Tribolium castaneum: one gene and its partner. The protein of the gene in region 1 interacts with the protein of each later gene in a pairwise test. Links are inferred from orthologs where the notes say so. Each region holds a gene or a part of one and is shown on either strand. Other genes may lie near its edges.

The links. The genes of interacting proteins can lie anywhere in the genome.
Region 2: the proteins of Rnf11 (region 1) and Rabex-5 interact in binary tests that used the Homo sapiens proteins (3 or more experiments, as listed by UniProt). The link is inferred for Tribolium castaneum from reciprocal best matches to the Homo sapiens genes RNF11 and RABGEF1.

The regions. Positions count from the first base shown.
Region 1 is NC_087403.1:546,768-551,814, reverse strand, and holds the start of Rnf11 (RING finger protein 11), read left to right. Parts: upstream 1-1,830; intron 1,831-2,243; coding exon of another isoform or gene 2,244-2,428; exon of another isoform or gene 2,429-2,707; intron 2,708-4,117; exon of another isoform or gene 4,118-4,226; intron 4,227-4,233; exon of another isoform or gene 4,234-4,612; intron 4,613-4,669; 5' UTR 4,670-4,794; coding exon 4,795-4,902; intron 4,903-5,047. Other genes in the region: uncharacterized protein Tdg, read right to left, coding at 1-37, 565-927, 983-1,130, 1,567-1,830, 2,244-2,428. UniProt on the Homo sapiens protein: Essential component of a ubiquitin-editing protein complex, comprising also TNFAIP3, ITCH and TAX1BP1, that ensures the transient nature of inflammatory signaling pathways. Promotes the association of TNFAIP3 to RIPK1 after TNF stimulation.
Region 2 is NC_087395.1:26,380,132-26,385,241, reverse strand, and holds the start of Rabex-5 (rab5 GDP/GTP exchange factor), read right to left. Parts: upstream 3,249-5,110; 5' UTR 2,757-3,248; coding exon 2,624-2,756; intron 1,857-2,623; coding exon 1,668-1,856; intron 1,618-1,667; coding exon 1,293-1,617; intron 1,186-1,292; coding exon 1-1,185. Other genes in the region: dsd (attractin-like protein 1), read left to right, coding at 4,577-4,803, 4,899-5,110. UniProt on the Homo sapiens protein: Rab effector protein acting as linker between gamma-adaptin, RAB4A or RAB5A. Involved in endocytic membrane fusion and membrane trafficking of recycling endosomes. Stimulates nucleotide exchange on RAB5A. Can act as a ubiquitin ligase.

The sequences.
Region 1 (5,047 bases):
CACATCGAGCGCTGGACGACGGCATCACCCACATATACTGAAAAAATTGCACCATATAACAGTTTTTTTCTTTACTTCAACAATATTCATTAAGACATAAGTTTGCGACCAACAGAAATGCAGTATGACGTATGATAGCATTATCAGTTAATTATTATTATTTATTAGATTACCATGGGTATCTGACACTTAAAATCATGCCAATTCGCGGTAGTTATTTGCAGGTAGGAGAGAAAAGAATAATAAGGGTGGCTTTGCCCATTTTGATTTTGATTATTATACAGTATTCTAGTTTATGTTAAAAGTCGTGAAAATTTATTGTTATTACAACTAGTCGAGTCGTAGAAAAAATAGTGTATGCAACACCTACTGTTAAATTCCGCGTATTTGCTACCAAAGCCGAATTCGTGAAGGCGTGCAAATTAATAATGACGATTCATGTGTCGTTATATTACCAATTTTTTTTATTATGTTTTTGTTAAAAATAGAAAAAATACTATGTGTTAGGCATTTCATTTACAAAGCTGTCTTACAAAACTCGTATCATAAACTTCTTTAACTCACCGTGTTTGTGCCGTCGACGAGGTCGGGTTGCCGTCCGAACTTGAAATCCTTTTTTCCGGAGAAGACTTCATAGATCAACTTGCCGTTAAAAACGGCAATCTTAGGTCGAAATTTTCGTAATTTTTCTAATAATATTTGACTACCCTCTTTAATTTCCTTACGAGTTAAATCAGCGCTACCCTTGGTTGCACGCTGTACCATATTTGTAAAGCCAATGCCTACTTGAAGTAATTTATAATCTTCGTCAGCTGATACTTGCTGTTGTGTTAATCCTGATAAATATAAACATTTCCAAAAATGGTTTCCAGGACCGGCATAGTGATGACCCTTATAGGCCGCAAATAAGCCCGGGTTTATCCCAATCTGCGAAATTATCAATCAATCAGTAAACCAACTATCCATTCAGAATCAGACTTACAATGATTATATCTAAATTTTCGGTAAGGTGATCCGGCAATGTTCGTTTGGACACCTCTTCTTCAGGCATCCCGTTAAATCGATCGTGCTTTTTTCGCTCCTTTATAGGCCGAGGAATCCCACCATTCATATCTTGATTATAGCCCGGTCTGGCAAAAACACGCAAAAACGATACATTAATTGCGTTTGTGGAAAACCCAACAAACACAAAAACAATTAATTATGCCAATGAATGCAGTGGCGAATCTAACCGAGACACGGTCGAGTCTATCCAAAAGATTATGTTTAGGCGTTAAAACTACCGACTGCGCCAATTCAGCATGCAAAAAATTATTCCAACTGGCAGCAACACCATTTTGGAAATGCAATGTATGTTGTAAATAGGAAGATGAGACGCCTCTTGTGTCTAGGAAATTCGTTTTGACTGTTTTGCGTTTTTGCCCCTTTTCGGCAAATCGGCACGCCACTGCCGCACGCGATCTGAATCACCGATGGCATTGGATAAGTTCACGAATTTAGGTTGGCCATCCTTCGCACACTTTCACTTGAGCGTTTAGGCTGTAGTATTTTTGTTTTTTGACTTACTCTTCTGGTTTAATCTTCTTTTTCCGCCCCCTTTTCTTGGGTCCTGTTGGTATGAGTTGGTTGTTGAGCGGGGGCATAGGATTGACAAGATGAGGAGGCCCTTGTGCAGCAGCAGGAAGCATCGGAATAGGATCATCGTCAATAAAACTGTAAGGATCTTCGAGTTTTTCACATTTCACTTCATGATTAACACTGGCAGTGTTTGAAAGCAACATATCAGCACTAGTTTCATAACCATCATCATGGGGTTCAAGTTTCATGTTTCTACACATAAGAACACAACCATTAACGTTGTTTAGAAACACTTTCAGTGGCAGAAATGGAGGCTCTTGGCGGAGACATCATGCAGGATGCACTGTTTTATTTTACTGTTGTGCAGTCTAGAATTTTACATCGGTTTCGGTTGCTGGTGTTACAAGCCAAGGTCTTTTAAGGGTTGCTCAAGGCTGTTTTTACTAGGCAACACGTAAACACTGAAGGCTGGCTGGTCGTCATGCAGAAGCGAAAGCCTTTGATAAGCAGCAGGGGTGGTATACAGAGTGTCTCAAAAAGCGTGGACCGGATTTCTGGGAGCGCTGCGATTGAGTAATATCGTTTCGAAATAGCAAGAGAGTAGGCGTTGGAGGTCGCATTTGGGGTCAGGAGGTGTTTACACGTTGTGTTTTGTTTGTACTTACAGCTTGTACTTGTTGGAGAAGGTCACCGGGTGGTTGTTGTAGTCGTAGGTGGCGATGGGTCCGGGTGGTAATGCGGAGACTCCGGAGTCCGGGGCTCCGGTGGCGGCGGCGGCGCCGCCTCCGCCCGCCTCCATGGTGGCTCCCAGCAAAGTGGAGGACTCGCGGAAAAGAGTTGCCACCTGCATCGGCGGTCGTCCCGAGCTGTCGCTCGTCCAAAAACGCAAAAACCGCACACACGTTACATCTAGCTGCTACACTAGCTTTAGAAAAACCCAACAACAACCTCACCCTTTAAAAATAGTCCCAACTCTGTGATTGGTTCAACGAACGTTTCGGAAAAATCAATAGAATGTTATCGGCCTGTATTTTTGTGGAAGCCTTGTTCCGGAGCTCATTGTCGGTGTCTCCGTCGGCGTCGCTTTCTCCGACGCCTGACGTCGCTTTTTCATCAGCGCATTCTAGGAAAAAATGCACCAAACTAAAAAAAATCATAATGACATTATTTCATTACACTCGGTAAGAAAACTGCAATACCGCACCCTCGACTACGTCTACTCTCCACAGAGGGCAACCCCTTTTTCAAACCAATAAAACCACCACTGATAAATTTCCATTTTACACCCTACATTTGGTATTTTTTTTCCCACAAAGTTTCAGTCAGCACCAGTCCTGTTTTTAAAGCTACAACATTTACCTACCCCAGAAACCTTGCTTTTTTTAAACGACTTTCCTTAATGCTCCCCTAAGTCAAAATTTTAGTGAAAAAATTGGAGGCTATCTCGGTTGCCACAAAATGTTTGTTTATTGTTTTTGTAGATAAAAATGTTGAAAAAATTACGTTTATGTTGAAGATTTGCCAAAAAGACTTATGTATTTTGGGTAAAATTCTACCATTTGAACGCATTATTATCGGATAGGTCAAGTTCTTCACGACATACCGAAGTTACGCATAAAATTCGTAATTTTTTTATTTTTCAAAAATAGGTAACTTTTTAATTTTAATTGAGCTCAAATTTGACCTATCTGGATCAGTCATGGCGACCAATATGGCGGCGCCATAACATCATCATAGAATTTTTAAATAGAACGATACCATTTTTCTTGTGTCTCTTTTATATCCCAATTCAGTTCATTGCAGAATTTTGCTATAGCGCATTTAAATTTTTTTAGAGTAAAATAAAGTACAAAATGAGAGTTTCTGTATAAGAAAGGAATTCTGTGTTAAACTATATCCCAGCGACAACCCACTAGAAACTCTCAATTTGTGCTCAATTTCACTCAAAAAAATACAGATGCGTTGTTGCAAAATTTGCCTTTTGTCTAAATACAGAATTTATTCTTTGCTAAAAGATACAGATTGCACGTAAAAGAGCAAAAGTATGAGAGTCAGAAATTCGATTTTCAAACAAAAATTTAAATGAAAATTGTCATTTGTACCGAAAAAAAAAATATTCAGTGAGGGATACAACGGAACTATTATAAAGATTGACTAGAAATTTTCTGTAAATTATTGGAATCATATAGGAATATTTTACATATTTTTCTAAAAATTGGAGAATTTTATAAGCACCTTATATATTTTGCGTCTAAATTTTAACTCTGGTCTTTTGATGACCCCTGCTTTTCCATTCTGTAAAAGTTTTACAGAGAATTTTTTTGTTGTATCTAAATGCTGTAATGTTCAATATTTTTTTATTTTTGAACAAACCAACATTTGTTTATTTGTAATACAAATAATAAATAAGTAATAACTAATATTTTTTAGTCAATAAATTATTGATTATCATTTAATAATTAATGTAAAAAATACGTTCACGCTATCTTATTTATCAATTTATTAGTTTTATCATACAATACCCCACTTTTTTCTTTGATAAAAATTAAGAAAATCAAATAAAAACAAAGAAGGGCGGAGCATGCGCGGTGGGTTCATTGTGACGTATGTGTTTACATGTCGTGTTTTCTGCAGAGTTGTGAAAAACAGTTAGTATCCATTATCAGGACAGTATTTTTGTTTTTTTGTTCGTAAAGTGCTGTAACTGGGTGTTATAAATTATCAAAATTTGGAAAAAGTTTTTACGATTTATTGCAACAATAAACTTGACAGCTGATGGTCAGCTGATGAACGTCAATGAACGTCAATCGTGTTTTGACATTTGTTTAGGTGAAATTTTCTAATACATTTCTAACACCAAATTCTTTATGCAATTACGACAAATTGAAGCTTAATCACTTCCAAAGTTGTTCATTTGCCCTGATCATGCTCTCGACAATGTAAATCGAGTAAATTAAATTCGTACTAGAGGTCAGCACACTGCCTAAATTTGACAACCGACAGTGTTAAATTAGAAAAAAAAAGAACAAAAATGGTAATTGTTGGCAAGGTAACTCCATTGTTAATACTTTTTTGTGTCTATTTTGTATAGTATTGAGGACCGGTGAGGATTTCCCTCAGGACAGTCTACATGTTTGAGGAGCCGTTTCCTTGTTTCCCAAAATATGGCATTAGGAACTCATATTTAGACCTAAATGCGTGACAAGCGTAAAAACAATGGGTAATTGCTTGAAACGGTCGACAACAGATGACATTTCGCTGTTGAGAGGTAGCGACAGCGTACGCGAGTCCTCCTCTGAGCAGCTGGGGCCCCCCAACTACCAGGTACGTGCTGGGCCACTTGTGGCCCACAATGTTTGTATTTTATGCACGTCCCAATTAATTACTTTCATCACTCAAAAAGAAAGTAATAGTTGTTTGCACTCTGGGAGTTAGTGACACTTGCAGAAATTCTTATGCTAATATAAGG
Region 2 (5,110 bases), on another chromosome or scaffold:
TGCCACCCCTGTTTGGAAAACCCCGAATATTGTGCCGTCATTGGTTTAATCGGCGATGGTAAATTCGGTCCTTCGTCCTCTTTCTCTAATAGAGTTTCTTGCGTTTCAACGAACGGTAAAACAAAATCGTCCGGTTTTGTCGGTATTAAAGGAGCCTGTGTTATCGGGCAACTGCTCCCAACTGGACTGAAGGGATCCGGTGTGAAACTTGGCGATTTTCTCTTTTCTGGGGTCAATTCAGCCAAACTACTCTCGCCACTTAAGTCGGAAAAATCGATATCGTAGTTGATTTTAGAGAGACTGTGATCGTCAGTCGGCGATGTTTTACTAACGCACGGTGTGATGTCTAGTTGTAATTTAGTTTTGGCATCGTCGATGTTACTTGTGGCGATTTGGAGATTTTGCAAATAGAAATTTTGACTGTTTTGAGTGTCGTCAACCTTTTCACTAAGTTCTGGGGTTTTACGCGGCTTGATGATAAGTGGAGTGCGCTCCAGAACCGAATTAACTTTCTCGTTCATCTCCTCTTTGAATTTTAAAATATCGTCAGTTAGTTTTTTCGTTTCGTCTTGAACCGTGTTCGTGCGAATCGACAAGTCTTTAAGGAGAGACAAGTGTTCGCACAGCTGGTGCATGCCTTCGCATGCCACAAGTGCCGATTCCCAGGCACTTACCGATGTTATCTCTCCGTTCATGTAAGCCTCGAACTCTTGCTGAGGCATATTTAACGACTCAGCGGTCAAATTTTCAATAAACGAAACGGCGCAGCACAAATTAGTGAAATAATAACCGGCTTCCCCTTGCATTAATCGACTGTCGTTGCAAAAACGCGTTACGTAAAGAATGTTACTTTTCAGTCGTGCCGGATTCGCTTTCAAGACGATGAAAATGAGAGCTGGTAAAAATTCATCGGCACTAACTGGACCTCCTTGACAATGTTGCAAAACTTTGACGACACTCTGACAACAGGAAACAACACAAGACAGCTTGTCTTGTGGTGCTTTCATTGAATCCATTCCGAGTAAATGTGTGATGGCTGTGTAAACTAAATCCCTAACTTCTATACTAGTTTCGCTAATGCAACAGTCTAAATGATGTGCGTTGACCCAACTAAGCTTGCGTATGCGTTCTTGTATTATCAAGTCTTTCTCTTCGTCGTTGGTGCTCGGTGGGCAAAACAGCCAACTAGAAGAAAAACATTCAACTCATTTTTTAACGAAAATTTAACAATAGTTTTTAAAAAATATGTAAAGCGCGTTTATAAATTTGGGTCAAATAAAAACAATACCAACCTGTAAAGACTGACCATGACGTACTTTTCGAAAAAATCCAACAACTCATCCCGAACGTCTGTTGTAACTTCCTGATACGTCTCCGTATTATTGACCCGATTACTGTACAAATTGTAATATTTCTGCGCCATTTCGGCAATATCCTCGATCGGTTTATTCTCCAACTCGCTGTAGATCTTCGTTGTGAACGACTGAACACACTTGAAAAAGTCCCTTCGGACTTGTTCACCCCAAACCCCATAGAGCGAAATAAATTCAGCCGTCAATTTATCAGCATCTGGATTCGCTTGTCTCAAATCCAAATGACGCTCCGGACGACCCGAATCTGCACCGTCCCCATTTTTACACAATTATTGCAAACACTAACAATTTTACCTTTAGCGCTTGAAGTTTTGCGAAAAACGGGCAAACTTTTCAAATATTTGTTCTTCTTGTCGGTTTGTTGGCGCTTCTTTTCTTCGAATTTCGAAAAACCAGAGACTTTGGTTTGGTCGGAGTGACTTTGGCGCGCCTTTCGTTGGCGCTCCTGGTCCATGTGGTTGCGGTAGCATTTTGAACAGTAACCTAACGAAGATGAATTAATTACTTAATGTTTTTTTCGTCGGCTTCATCAAAAGGGCGACGAAAAATATTTAATTGTTTGTGTCAATATTTCTCGAAATTTCTGCGATAAGAAAAACAAAACCCAACTTATCACGATTTACAATAGAGTAATAATTAATTAATACAATGACCTGTGTGATAAGGAAAAAATTCGATAACACATTTTCCGGCCTTGTGTAATAATGGACTACGGGTTATTATAGTTTTCTGACAACGAATTAAATAAATGACTGTATTTTAGCAAAAGGTAAACCAAAAAATACACGCTGACAAAGCGCTAAATTCTCAATAGTACAAGATAAAAAGAAGAATGCAAAAATTATATCGTAAATATCAAAATATTAAAAAAAGCTAATTCCCATTTGCCAATAAAGTGCTACAAAAAGCACTTGATATATACGTTAAATAACCACTTGATGAGAATGAAGATTTCCGTATCAAGGTTTTGTTAAGTCTTAAAAAAAATAATGTACCCAATGGCCAATTTAATCGAAGGTTATTATTTGGGACAAAAAATCGTTTGATAAATTCCACTTTAATTTTTTTCTCGGGTTTGTTGTGAAAATTGTCATCAGTTTTTCTCAGGATATTAGGAACGCAAAGCTCAACACGTCTTTATTTTTTTTTTCAAGTGAATTCACGATGGAGTAACGATTAATTAATACAATGACCCGTGTGATAAAAAACTCGATAACACACTTTTCGGCCTCGTGTAATGGAGGACTTACCGTCCCAATCGGCGTTTCCATAGTATCCGCACCCATTTTTGCACTTGAGATCGGCTTGATTGATCCTTAAAGAGGGTTGTTTGGTGGCGTACATCATGTACTTGTAAGAACGCTGCAAGGCAAATATCGGCATTTTCACCCCACTAATAACACTACTTAAGAACTAAAGAAAATAGTTTATGAGTCCGTTCTTTGTGAATTTCTCAATCGCCCATCTGTTGTGGATTTTTCACTCGTTGAGTGACGATAAAAGGCACTCGTTTTTAGTTTTTGATTATTTTACCACGGTGGTACGAAGCTGTGATCGTGTGCACACAAATTCAACTCTTTCATTAGCATTTGGACGACTGGGAATTGGGGGAATTTTAGAAAGTTGATGCCCGCTGTTTCAACGATGTGAATCCTCGTTAGGGATTCGATGAAGGCACTTATTAAACTTTCACCAGGATCAGCCATTTGTGGAGGGTTTGTCAAGGGGGTGAATTTGTTAACGACAGGGTGCTGGTTGGAAAAACGCAAGGAGGAAACGGGGGGCGAACGCTCGGTGTTGTTTTTTTCGTGAAACGCGAGACAGCTTGGCTCGATTAAGACGAGAAAACTGCCGTTGCAAGATGATGGAGAGTCTTTTATTGGAACGAGTTTATCAAGCGATAAGGATTAACCAATTGAATGGACAAGGTTAAAAGTCTAATTTGACCAAGAATCCTTATCTACGGCCAATCGCAGCGAGGCACAGTTTTCGTGCTAAATAACTGAAGACGATTCGCGTCAATGATTTTTTCAAACGGTGATAAACAACAAATTTAGCGATGATTAATTAATGTTTACTCACCGTCTAGCAAGTTTCGTCAATCGCTCACTAACAAAATGTTTTGCATCTTTCTTGTGGTGATGGTGATAACCTGAAATCAGAAGCGCCTTTCAAGCACAAAGGAAATATAATGTAATGTGTGTCGAGAGTCAATATTGACCGGAACAACCAATTTCATTGAACAAGTATCACTTATTTGGCCAAGATTACTCAAGCAATTTCATATAACCTTTTGGCCTTGATAAAACCGACTTAATTTTAGAAACAAAAAAGGACTCACACGCCTGTTTTATCACTCGTTTTGCAGCAATAAGGACTTTTTTACCAAATTTATCGCTCACAGTTCATTTTTTATGTTTGTTGTTTTGATCAAAAAATCAATAACAGCTGACGCACGCCATTTTTTACCTTCGCAGTGCTGCCAACCTTGCGATAACAAGCGCCCAAACTACTTTTTTCAAATGAGATAAAAAATCTTTTATCAAAAAAGCGAGAAGGTTGCCCTTTTTTTATAAACCACTTGAAATTATTTAAATCAAGGTCCATCCACTCGTCGAATGATTTGATAATTCTTATCTGGAAACATCTGGTGATGATATCATGCAAATTAATCGGCTGTCTTGTGCATTCAGTATTTTTAACAATGATTTAATTAAAGATTGAAGCCACATGTGTGATTTATGGGGCCACCAATAATACATTCACTTGGAATGTTAAAAGAGTGGCGTAGCGCCAATCGGATTGTATCATTTTTTATCGCAAACCGAGCCGTTAAAATGATAATCCTGTCCGTTTTTAGTGTTCTTACTTCGATAAAGCGATAAAACGAGCTTTTTGCTTAAAAATAAAAAGCCGCCCCCTAATCTGGTGACTTTAAGCGCTTACGTGTGCAAGCCTTCCGCCAGTTGACATTTCATCTGTTATGTAGTTAATTGTCAAAAAAATATGGAAAATAGTATCTCTCTGAAAAAACCGTCACCCCTTGGCCAAAAAAGCACCGAAATGAAGAAACCATCACCTAATCATTAACACCCGTTCTAATCTCGCATCGATAATTCCGCCACTCGTCCATTTTCAATTAAAATTTACCGTTTTGTTTTGACGTCGACGTAATGCAACTGTAAAGTAATGGTGGTAATAAGATGTTAGAAATTTTCCAAATGTTTTTGTTCTTGTTCAAGTCGAAATACCGTCGAAAATGTTACGTGTGGCAGGCTTTGTGTTGTGCTGTTGTGGTTTTAAATGTTTGCTCTCTTGTTAAGGCCAAATGTGCGGATTGTAGCGGCAATGGGGTGTGTAAAAATGAGACTTGTGTGTGTTACGACGGCTGGCAGGGGCCCCAGTGCCAGTTTTGCGGCGGAAAAGTGCGGTAAGGGGACACTATTACTCGGTCTAGTCGGCTGGCTCCATAGACATATACCGCAACAAATGTCAAGAAAAAAATTAATTTTTTCCTTGCTTCAGTTTGGGTACCTCCACCGGTACCATTCACGACGGCTTGGGCAACTACTCTCTCAGCGTGAAATGCTCCTGGTTGATCGACGCCCCCAACACCTCCATCACCCTCCACCTGGAGGAGTTCGCCACGGAGTGCGGTTGGGACCACCTGTACATCTTCGACGGCGACAGCGTGGACTCGCCCCTTCTGGCCGTCTTCAGCGGTCTCATGTACAAAG